3 linked regions of the Coturnix japonica genome follow. The protein of the gene in region 2 interacts with the protein of the main gene of each other region in a pairwise test. Links are inferred from orthologs where the notes say so. Each region holds a gene or a part of one and is shown on either strand. Other genes may lie near its edges. The genes, in order: CYTH1, IPCEF1 and CYTH3.

Region 1 (3,748 bases), on a different chromosome or scaffold from region 2:
TGCCCTGAGCTGGGGCTGCAATGTGGAAGCAGAGACTGAGCCACAGTTGGTGCAGCTGTGATTATTGCAGCCCATTTCAAGTGCCCGTGGCTGCCCTCCCTGCACAGGCTCCCCCTGGCCCAGCCCTGTGTCCCTGCAGCTCCTCACACCTTTCACCTCTGCAGTGAGGAGGAGGCAGAAGCTGTTTGCTTCCAAGGGAAGGGGAAGCAGCACAACTCAGTCATGGAGGTGATGAGCACCTGTGAGCAGCCGTTCCCATCTCCTTCCCATCCATCCACAGCTGCTCCCAACACCAGGGTAACTCTTGCCTGTCCCCAGCCATGCCCCCAAGGTCCTGTGCCCATTCCCATAGCCCTTCCCCATCTGGATGCTATCTGCCCACCCTGGGGGTTCTCCAGCTCAGCCCATTGCAGCAGGCTCCCAGCAGCAGTCAGGACCCAGTACCAGGTGCCGTCTGCAGGACACGGCCTCATGCCCCGACAGGCTCTGCAGTCTGTTACTCACGGACGTGCCCCACGCTGGGGAATCACTCCTGCTCGGAGGAAGGGAAGGAGCTGTCTGTCCGGTTTGGGCTCCCTCGCTGCCTGTGGGGCTGGCAGGTTGGGGGCCGGGTGCGGTGGGGCTGAGTGCTGCCCCCAGCCCTGCTGGAGGCCCATAGCTCGGGCAGAGCCCCAGCTCCTGCTGTAGGAGCATCCCGGCTGCCAGGGCCTGGAGAATCATCTCCATCACAGCCATGATGTGCCAGCTCCAGGCTGCCCGCTCTGCATTCCCAGGTGCCTGAATCCATTGTGGCCATACTGGGGAGCAGCGTTCCCCTGTTCCCCACAACTGGGGGCTCCCCACGCCAGCTCCAGCCCGTTGTGTTTCTTTATGCACCTTCCTTTTATGCAGGGAAGGTTGCTACGCAACCAGCGGCTCTTGATGCTTAAAGCTCTAATACGGTGGGATAAAACCGCTCTAAAAATACCCCCGCCGTCAGCCACCCAGGGGCCGGGGCATGCAGGGGGGCAGAGGGGGGGCAGGCAGCCTGATACCAGGGGTGCTGTTGGGAACTTCCCTACTCTACGTCCTCCAAGTGGCTTTGAGTGCCCAGGAACACAGCAGCGTTCGGTGCCGGCACGGAGCGGGATTGGCTGCGACCGGCGCGTGGGCTCCTGCTGCTGGAGCCTCCCGCTGCCAGAGCCGCCTTCCCCTGCTCCAGGAGGAGCGGGGACACCCGGGGCAGCCCCAGCTGCAGGGAGCTGCTGTGCGGTGCCCTCCTGCCCTCAGCCTGCCCCGGGGGAGCCGGCACTGCGCAGCATGGGGACGGTCAGCGAGCTCTGCGCCTCCAGCTTCCAGGCCTTCCTCTGCCCCTCCGTGGCCACCACGGCAGGTAGGTGCTTTGTGCCCCATCCCTGTCCCCCCCAGCAGACGAGGTGCCCGTAGCTCTGGCTCCATATGGCTCATGCTGACAGCAGCACACAGTCCCAGTTGTCTTGCTGTCTCCTTCCACCGTGCGCTGCCAGGCTTGGGCCCCCCTGGGCTCTGGGTGCAGCTTGTATTGCACCACATTGCTGGGATGGGGAGCCCATGGGAGCACAGTGGGTTCACGTGGCACAGTGAGATGTGTCCAGCAGCTCCTTGCTCTCTTACCCCAGCGCTGCTGCGGGTGATGCCCTCACTGCTGCCCTACTCGGAGCAGGAAGGAGCATGCGTGGCTGTGAGCACAGCTCCAGCCCACGTCCTCCAGACAAAACCTGGCTGGGGCACCCTGACGCCTGCTGTGTCACAGCTGCCACCGTGGGCTGGCAGTGCCTGTGAGCTGCTGTTGTCTGTCTGCAGGCTCCTGCTCCCGAGCTGAGACCTGGGAATAGAGAGTAAGCAAGGAGCACATGGGGTGCACTCCTGGCACTCTTGCAGGACGTGGGGCTGTAGGAAGGCATAGCACAGTGAGGATGGATGTGGCTCCGTTGTGTGCCCCTGCTGTACTCCAGCCCCGCAGCCAGGATGGGCTCTGTGCTTAGGGGGTGCAGGAGCCTGGAACTGGTGGGCTGGGTTCCTTGCTGGGGGCAGGGCTGCTCCAAGGGGCTGAGAACCCCCGGCAGCTCTCAGCTATGGGGTGGGGTTGGGGGATTCTATCTTGGAGCCGCCCTATGCTGTGCTCCTGACGCACCTCATCTGTCTGTGGGGAAGAACAGGGCTGACGCAACCCAGGATGTGCACACAGCACAGTGAAAACAGGATGTGGTGCACTGGGGCAGCGGCAGGAAGTTTCTTGGGGCCCCTCAGCAACCCCCCCCCCCAGCAGTGGGGTGCAGCAGGAGCCCCATGGTGGAACCCACAAGCAATGCCCTGTGGTCAGCAGCCCCTGCCCTGGGCTGGGGCATCCCTGCGGTCTGTTCAGCTCTGCTTGTGGATGGAGCTGTGCAGCAGGAGGGCTGTGTCCCTGCAGCACAGCGTTCAGCTGGAAGGCCAATGTGAGCCTCTTTTTAGCTCCTTCTTCCCTGAGCTTTCCTGGGAGATGCTCTGGATGCTGTTTTTCCATCACACGCTGTGGAGCAGGATTTAGCTGAGTCAATGTGCCGGAGCTCTTGTGGTCTCCCCGGGCAGCTGCAGCGGGACAGGACCTTGCTGAGGGCTGTGCTGCTGCAGGCACGGCCCTATTGCAGGGAATGAGAGCAGGTGGTCCTTACAGCCTATACAGGCCCTGAACCCACACATGGGGGGGGGGATATGGCTGGACAGTGCCAGATCTTCAGGGCAGGGTTGGGGCTCTGGATGGGGTGGGAGAGGGGTCCCTGGTGTCACCGCCCTGAGCTTGGGACGTGCTGAGCCGCATGCATCCTGGCAGCCCCCGAGGAAGGAAGGGCCGGGCCAGCTCCAGTGCCTGCAAGGATGGGTGGGCGGCAGTGACCCTGGGGGCCGAGGAGGGGGCGCGGGGCTCTGGCTGCACAGGAACCGGGTGTTGCTGGTGCCAGTTCTCAGCCGGGCTGCGATGACGCCTGGCACAGCGCTGAGCTCATTGGCCTGGAGCTGCCCTGACTCACCCAGGAAGCTCTGGGAGGGGGCAGCTGTTGGCACCCCAAAGAGCAGCACCTCTGCAGCACTGTGCAGACGTGGGCAGCGGGACACAGCCCAGCAGGATGGTCCTCGGGGTGCAGGGCAGCGGTGAGCAGATGGGCCTGCGTGGGGCAGTGGGTGGGAAGGAGGCACGTGGGGCTGAATGCGATGCAGAGGGGCTTTGTGTCTGTTCAAGGCATGGTGTGAGCGGGGTATTTGCTCCTTGAATCCAGGATGGAGCCTTGCCATGCTCCTCACTGCCCTGGGGGTGAGGCAGCAGCTCCCCTGCATTGCTCTGCAGAGGTTGGGGGGATGGCTCAGAGTATTGGTGCTCTGTGGTTTGTGCTGAGAATCCTTGCACCCAGCATGGCAGCCTGGGATGATAGCCTGGCATGGGATGTTAGCCTGGCATGGGATGATAGCCTGGCATGGCTGCTGGATTTGGTGTTCTGCTCCAGCCCCCTCTTGCAGCCTTGTGCAGGCTCAGAGGTTGCTGCAGCTCCACTCGGTGCTATGGAAGGGTTAACGCCTGCGTCCTTCGCTGAGAAAAGCTCTGCGTCTGGGGTTTCTCTTCCTCCTGCTGCTGCTGACACGGCTGGGCCATGTCACGAGTGCTCTCCCAGCACAGCATCAGGCAGGCTTGGGGGGGGGCTGGGCTTTGTGGCTGCTATGAGTCCCTATGAGCCCCTTGCCCACACTGCCCGGGGGT
Region 2 (3,748 bases):
GCAGTTCATATCTGAGCATTCCCAGGACACTCTGAGTTGTAGTGCAGCTCAAGCAGAGAAAAGAAGATATAAGTATCTTGCTTATAGTTCTCAATGCATTTGAAAAACAAAGGTTATTAATTATTAGTTTTTAACTTAGTTTATTATTCTCTTACATTGCTACCTTGCTGCATATTAATACTCCCTAAAAAACTTAAAACTCAGCTCCCCTAATCAAAGGTTGTTCCCACTAATAAATTGCCTATTCCGTATTTTTATACAAATTATTTTACACAATATGAGTCATATTGAAATTGCTCTAATTTAAATACTTATGTTTATTTGCATGACTAAGCATTGTTTATCAGTAAACTTGGCACTTCGCATCTTCAAACATTTTAATTGCATATACATCAGTTATCTGAAAATGTACCCAGGAACTAATCTTGGAATCATATGCATACACTCATCTACTGCTTCCTGAAATAACTGATGCTTTCCCATGTGCACTGAATCACAGTCAAGGTAACAGTCACAGGCCTGAAGAAGCATTTCTTACTTATGGGAAAAAATGTATGGTCCAGAGAGGAGATAAAGATTACCAACTAGATTGATTTGTGCAGAACTTCCTCTGATTCAATTTTCTGGCTATATCCCCTTGTCCTATTTGCCATGCACTGCCAAAAGGAGTCTGGACATTTGCATTCTGAACCTTAGATGTTTATAGACATTGATCAGATACCCACTGAGTCTTCTTTTCTCATGGCTGAACAGACCCAGCATTTCCTCATAATAGAGGTACTCGAGGCAAAACTGGAAAGAGATTTTGAGGAATCATTAAGTCTGCCTCTCCCATCAGGTCAATTATACTTGGACTATTCCTGACAGAGGGCTACCTAACATGTTTTTTAATTGCAGCAAGTAACAGAGGCATCACAGCTTCCTTCAGATCTCTAATTCAGTGTTTAATTCTCTTAGTAAATAAATTTTTACTAACTTTCAGCCCCATGCTCCATTTAAGCCTATTACCTCTTGTCCTATGAAAATTAGCCCTATAGTTTCTATTTATTTACAGAAATCTTTATCACGTTTTTTCTTATAAGAACAAATCAGTCACTTAAGACTATTCAACACCAATTTATTCAATATTTTCTGAGGAGCCAACACTCCCTGAGCAAAGAGTCTTTAAAATGCCATTGCCCCTCCTTGTAAATTATCTGCTGTAGTAAGTACTCCATCTTCAGTGATGGGCACTGCTGGCCTAAAATGATGGTAACTAAAAGGAATGGAAATTCTCCATTAGTTTGGTTAATAAGAGACTTTCAGGAAGAACCTGCTGAAAACAAGAGCCCCAAATCTTTTCACTGATCTTTGCTTATAAGTACATACATATAGTGATATATATGTGTGTATATATGTGTGCATGTATGCATATATCGAGCCAACAAGTTATTTGAGCAAGTCACCTCTGCATTGCTTTTTCTATTCCAAACCCAGACACTTAACTTCTGCAACTTAGACCTTAATTTTTAATTTTCTTTTTTGTATGAACGTGCTTAGAAAATAATTAAATCATGGATCCAGCGTGCTGTGGACATTTACAGCTGTACAGTTCTGCTTGTTACAAAATGTGCACGATATAAATAAGTGAGAGTGTCAGAAAGGGGTAGAACATAAAAAGTCACAGCGTGCTCGCTTGCCACTATCAACAAAATATCCCAGAGAAAACTAAATGCATCCTATTAGCTGGAAAACTAAAGCTGCCTGATGTGTAGGAAGGACAGTATCTGTCTCCCCTAATCCCTACTACATTAAAAACAAAACAAACAAAAACTATTCACTCAATTATCACTCTGTTTGTCTCATTATTCTCTCTCATTACCTTTTTCTGTATTAAACAATCTACCACCAAGATTAGGTTGCTGAACACATAAAATTAAGGCTGCACAAGACAGAGGCTGGGTTTCCATTTCCTGGCCAGTGCCAAATCTCCTGACTGTTAGATGAGAACAGCAGACACAGAATCCACCCCATCTGAGGGATCTCCTCCTGCCTTTGCACGACTCCCACATCCTCCTCAGGAAGCACTGCTTGAAACATAACTTACACTAAGCAGATCACACCTGAAAAATGTATAAAACATCATTACTTTAAAACAAAACAACTTGTATAAATTGCTCATAATGTACATCGTTACTTCAATCCTCTGAATACAGTTTTAACTTACCACAAGTCAAGAGATCACTCGTAAAGTTTGCATATGTGAACCAAGAGGGCTGCCCGGGCACCTAGGACTACTTCCCCTCTTCCTTTTCTTACCACCCCCTCAAAACTGCCCCATGAATACAGGAAGAGAGATCACCAGCTGCCTGCTGAAGAAAACAGCCCCTGAATAGTATGCATCATTCAGATGATTTGGATGATTCAGTGTTTCCACATGAACTCTGCTGAAGATGCACACAAATGGCGCTTTGTGCATTTCTGAATCGCAAGCATAATTAATAGTCCAAGTACATATCAAAACAACTTCTATTTGAAGAATAACCTTCCATCTAAAATACAGCACTGTATCTGTTACAATACAAGAGTTCCAGTTCTCAGACCTATTAACAGCTAGATTCACTTGTGTTTACATACTCCAGCATCTCCAGCCTTTATATACCTATCTAAAAAATCGTTCTCAAAAGTTGCAGTGAGCAGGACAATGACAAGAGGATCTAGTGGCAAACTCATCATTTCGAAAGCCACCTGATGTGATGTGCATTGGTTTTAAGCTGGAAGGGCTGGGAAGGAACAGAAAGGCCAGATGTTGCTTTCTCAGATACCGCAACACAGTAAGCACCTGTTTTGTTCCTAGGCATTTCACAGACTTAACTGCAGCTACATTTTGAAGGTTCAAGATGCTCTCACTATTTAGTAACTCACAGGAGAATACCATTAAAAATTCCCAGATATAGGCTGAGAACAAATGAACACACATAAACAAAATGAATGTACTTAGTGTGGTGCTCAAGGATGAAGAAATAGTATCTGTTTTTGCTTCTCTAATTTCCCTTTCTCATTTATTCAGAAGTTCACTTGATTCCTCTCTGTCAACAAGATCCTACTTTTATTTCAGCCCTGTAGCCATAAATCAAGAACGGCCCTGTTAAACCAAACAGATCAGATTTGACACAAAAAAAAGAAGAATCAGACCTTGTGCTGACTTGTTCCTTCCCGATCTGCCCTGTTAACTTTCCAGGAGAAGTGCTTGTTTGTCCTAGAGAACAAAAGCAGCATGAGCATGTAGAACCAGCCCAAGGTGCTCTGCAGGAGACACACAGTTAGTTGTTGTCTGAATCCACATGCAGCACCCATGCCACCACAGACTACTGTGCTTCAGCAAAGATAGAAGGATTGAAGGTTGCAAGGTAGGTAGTAATAACAGAATGCCACCAGAAACCATGCATATATTTTTCCACCAATGGTTTGTGAGCCATACTTTTATTTTCATCACAACTGAATTTTGCTTCATCTTAGGATGCAGACATTATACATATGCAACCTGAAGAGCTTGTGTCAAACTTGTTAGGCTGGTGCAACTTGCATCCTACAGCTCCTATCCCGAACCAGTGCTGTCAGATTCATCCACCCTTGCCAAAACATTTCCCATCTTACCCAGCTACCCAAGCAGCAAGCACTGTGTGAGACCAGAGTGTCCCAAAATCTTCTGAAATTTGAAAATGTGCCAAATATTTCCCTAGAGACAGTGAAATCCACATTTGCAGGA
Region 3 (3,648 bases), on a different chromosome or scaffold from region 2:
ACACTAAGAGAATGGGGACTGAAGTGTGAAGTGCCCTCTTTAATAAGCAGTTCAAATGGCCAAAAACTGGGGTGTGTCATCACTGGCTTTGTATAAAAGAGATTTATCACATCGGGCAAAAACAGCAAATGAACAATATCACATTTCACTCTGCTTTATAGGGGAGAAAAATCCCTGAGCACAAGTAAAACTGATGGGATTCATTTGCTTAATGGAGGCTGTAACAGTGCAGTGCCAGGGGCTGCGTATCACTGAAGGGTCCAGTGCCCCTAAATTCACACTAATTTAAGAATATGTTTTTCTTACTCAATAGGACGCTTACGAAAGACAATACACAGAAGAAGAACAGCTTTGCTGTGTGTGTAGTTCCCAATGCAATCAAGGTTTCCCAAAATTCTAACATAAAATTAATAACAAAGATCCAAAGTGATTTTGTTAGAGCACAAAACGTTTTTCTCTCGGTCAGAATTGTTCTTCTAGTTGCATCCTTCAGTGAATGCAGAAAAATCATCTGTTTTCCTGCTTTACGTTCAAACACCTCCTTGAGCAGAGGATGCCTGCACATGAGCCAGACACTCATGCCAGCCTTTGTGGACAGAACAGCACTGATGATACGGTTAGTGACACCGAGTGAAAAAGCAAAGTGATACAATAAATTTAAGAAAAAAAGTAAAAAAAAAAAATATAAAAGAAAACAACAACAACAAAAAAAAACAAAACAGAGGAGGGAAGAGGAAGAAAATAAAAGAATGAGCAACTGAACAAGAGGGGGCTGGAAAGCAATCAGATACGTACCTCCTAATGCGAATAAGCAGAGACAGCCAGTCACAGAACAGAAAGGTGATAGGTCATAGGCCATAAGGAAAACAAGAAGGCACATTTAAACCACTCATTAAAAAATCATACCAAAACCAAACCAAGAGAAACTCACAAATAATATGGAAAAATAAAGACACACAAAAATAACTCTTTGACGAGAAATCCTGGTTTTGCACGCAGAAAACTGAGTCAAAATTTCACTAGTTTTCTGCAGTGACTCCGTGGAGGTTTAGCTGTTATCCATCCATCACGGCACGTGGCAAACACCAGATGGAGTTTCCTTTCTGCTGCTGAGTTTTCAGTTCTCAGATACCAGAAAAAAACTCCTAAGTCTGAAACAAGACGGCTGGTATGTAGAAGTGCAATAAGGAGTAACAACCTTCCCTTGTAAAGGAGTTACTTATTTTGGCTTAAGCGTTTTAAATGTAAATTACAGCACGAACCCCGTTACGTTTATAAGGAAGCAGCAGACACAGAAGGAGCAGACACGCTAACAACCAACAGACAGCAGCGAGATTGCTCCTGTAACTAACCTAATTTCAGCAGCCAGCCCTCCCGGTCAGGGTTGAAGAAGGTGTGTGTGAGGTCATTGCCATCATCCTCTGGGATTTTAAAGGGCTCGTTCTTAATACTTTCATATAAATTCTAGAAGAATAAAAAAAACAGGAAGAAGACCTCATTAGTAACATGTAACAGAAAACACAACCAGAACATCCTACTGCTGCTCAGTTCATTTGTACAGAAAGCAAACGCTGCCAAATAACTCAGGACCATCCATTCCCAATTGCTGTTTAACACACTGAATAAGTTTGTTTTCCAATTACTTTCTGTGTAAACTCTCCCTCCCTTCCCCCAGATTTTGTAAGTACTCCCCATCGAACACACTGTTATCGCAGAATTCCACACTGCAGAAGTTTCAGCTTCTCAAACTGTTCCAATTTTCTGTAATTGTTGCCAAACTAATCTGGGCTCTTAGAAAATACTTCATACCATCACACTGCGTTAGTGAAGTAAACATCTCTGCTGTTAGCTCAGGGCAGAGGAGGAAGCTCCACACGATACATGGAAAGAATAGAAAGGCAGTAACAAAACAATGATGTTTTCATCAATTAATTTTCCTCCTTTCTCTGACTTAAGTAGGAATAATACTTTTCCCATAAGAACACTGGCACAGCACAGTGTGAGAAACATACAGAGGATTTCCTCCAGAATCTCTTCTCAACATTAGACCAACCAAAGTTAGAGACAACTAACCACGAGTATCAGTCAACACTTCTTTCAGTTTCTCAAATGGTTACACGTGGCAGAAAAAGTTCTCGTTACTTCCCTTGAGAAATCAGTCTGAGAACTGTCGTGTACGTTTCTCATTTTCCTATTAAAAAACAAAAAGCAACCCCTGATCTGCACCATTTTCACTCACCCGTAGCAACTCCTCAGGCAGGTCCCCCCCATCGTTGATGCCACGGTTCATGGCGATGAATCGCTCTGCTGTGGGTTTGTCCTTGACGTTGGGGTTGTGCAGGCTGGTGTTCAGCATGATGATAGCGAAGGACAGCACGTAGCACGTATCTGAAATCAGATTTGAAAAATGATTTATTTTTCTATATATGCATTTTCTGTTTACAAACTTGAGTAGATGCTGTAACTGACTTGGTCTGTCAGACACCAATTCAAAGTGTCTCCAAAGTTTTATCACAGACACCCAGAGGAAGAACAGTCTCTTCAAAATAACACTTGAACTGCATGTAAATAAAACTGAAAATAACATTTTATATACAGCAATAATAGCAGAGTGGCACAATCCTGGGCTGCAGCAAACAAGAACAAGCCCAAATGCAGCAGCTGTGGACACATAAACAAAGCAAAACAAACTACTTACCTCTGGAAGAACTCCAAATCTCCAGCAAGATACTCTCACTTCCACTGCAAACCCTTACATTAGGTCTGGGCAGAAGTGGGTCCTGCCTCCACCCCTTCTGCTCCCTCAGCTGCGCTGCATGTACCTGAGCTGCCCTGGGCTGGCCCTGCCTTCATACCAGGTGTCAGTCACTGGTCAGGCCGTGATTTAACTTTTCAGCTACACGCAGCCAAAACAGTCTGGGGACATTTCTAAAGTGTGTCTTATACTCAAATTAGTTTACATAGTAATGGTAGAGTTTAGTAAGTGGAAATGAATACTTGACCATCAGCTTGTGGTTTCCAGATGTGAAATATAGAATCAGATAGCAGCATTTTCTCAGTTCTCAGGAACTGATTATTCCACGTATTATTTTACTTTGGACTTTCAAATTAGCCACTGTTTCCTTGAACCAGATGTGGAAGAACATTAACATTTTAACATCACATATAACTAACCTGTAGACTGAAAGACACCTGGGTTACAAAGGCAATAGCGTGAAGCAAAAGCTTCCATCATACGGTCAATTTTCTGAGCCTCTCCTGGGAGTCTGAAGCTCCACAGAAACTGCCTACAGAAAAGAAGAATCACTGTTAGACTCACGCCAATATTTATATATTAAGCAACTATTGCTAATAATCAGAAACAAAACCCAGCAATGTGGATATAGTGTCCTAGAAATATGTTCTCAATTTCTCACCAAACAAGTCAGGAGCTATCGTAAAGCAACATGCACAGATGGTAACCCAGTAATGCAGCCAGCAGCACTGCATGCTATCAGGCAAGGTAATATGGCAGTTCATGTTCTGAGACTCTCTTTTTTCAGGGCTAGGAAACAATTTTCTGTATGCATCCCATTTTTCCATGAGAATACTAGAGAGGGAACAAAAACAGGTCAATCCTCCCTGGGATCCCTGTCTACTAAAAGCAAT

Evidence for each region.
Region 1: the proteins of IPCEF1 (region 2) and CYTH1 interact in binary tests that used the Homo sapiens proteins (3 or more experiments, as listed by UniProt). The link is inferred for Coturnix japonica from reciprocal best matches to the Homo sapiens genes IPCEF1 and CYTH1.
Region 3: the proteins of IPCEF1 (region 2) and CYTH3 interact in binary tests that used the Homo sapiens proteins (3 or more experiments, as listed by UniProt). The link is inferred for Coturnix japonica from reciprocal best matches to the Homo sapiens genes IPCEF1 and CYTH3.

Annotation. Positions count from the first base shown.
Region 1 is NC_029533.1:4,599,317-4,603,064, reverse strand, and holds the start of CYTH1 (cytohesin-1), read left to right. Parts: upstream 1-1,168; 5' UTR 1,169-1,299; coding exon 1,300-1,372; intron 1,373-2,842; exon of another isoform or gene 2,843-3,122; coding exon of another isoform or gene 3,123-3,147; intron 3,148-3,748. UniProt on the Homo sapiens protein: Promotes guanine-nucleotide exchange on ARF1, ARF5 and ARF6. Promotes the activation of ARF factors through replacement of GDP with GTP.
Region 2 is NC_029518.1:45,233,760-45,237,507, forward strand, and holds the start of IPCEF1 (interactor protein for cytohesin exchange factors 1), read right to left. Parts: upstream 2,384-3,748; 5' UTR 2,207-2,383; intron 2,103-2,206; exon of another isoform or gene 1,862-2,102; intron 1-1,861. UniProt on the Homo sapiens protein: Enhances the promotion of guanine-nucleotide exchange by PSCD2 on ARF6 in a concentration-dependent manner.
Region 3 is NC_029529.1:8,519,653-8,523,300, reverse strand, and holds part of CYTH3 (cytohesin-3), read right to left. Parts: intron 3,288-3,648; coding exon 3,175-3,287; intron 2,389-3,174; coding exon 2,240-2,388; intron 1,465-2,239; coding exon 1,353-1,464; intron 1-1,352. UniProt on the Homo sapiens protein: Promotes guanine-nucleotide exchange on ARF1 and ARF6. Promotes the activation of ARF factors through replacement of GDP with GTP. Plays a role in the epithelial polarization.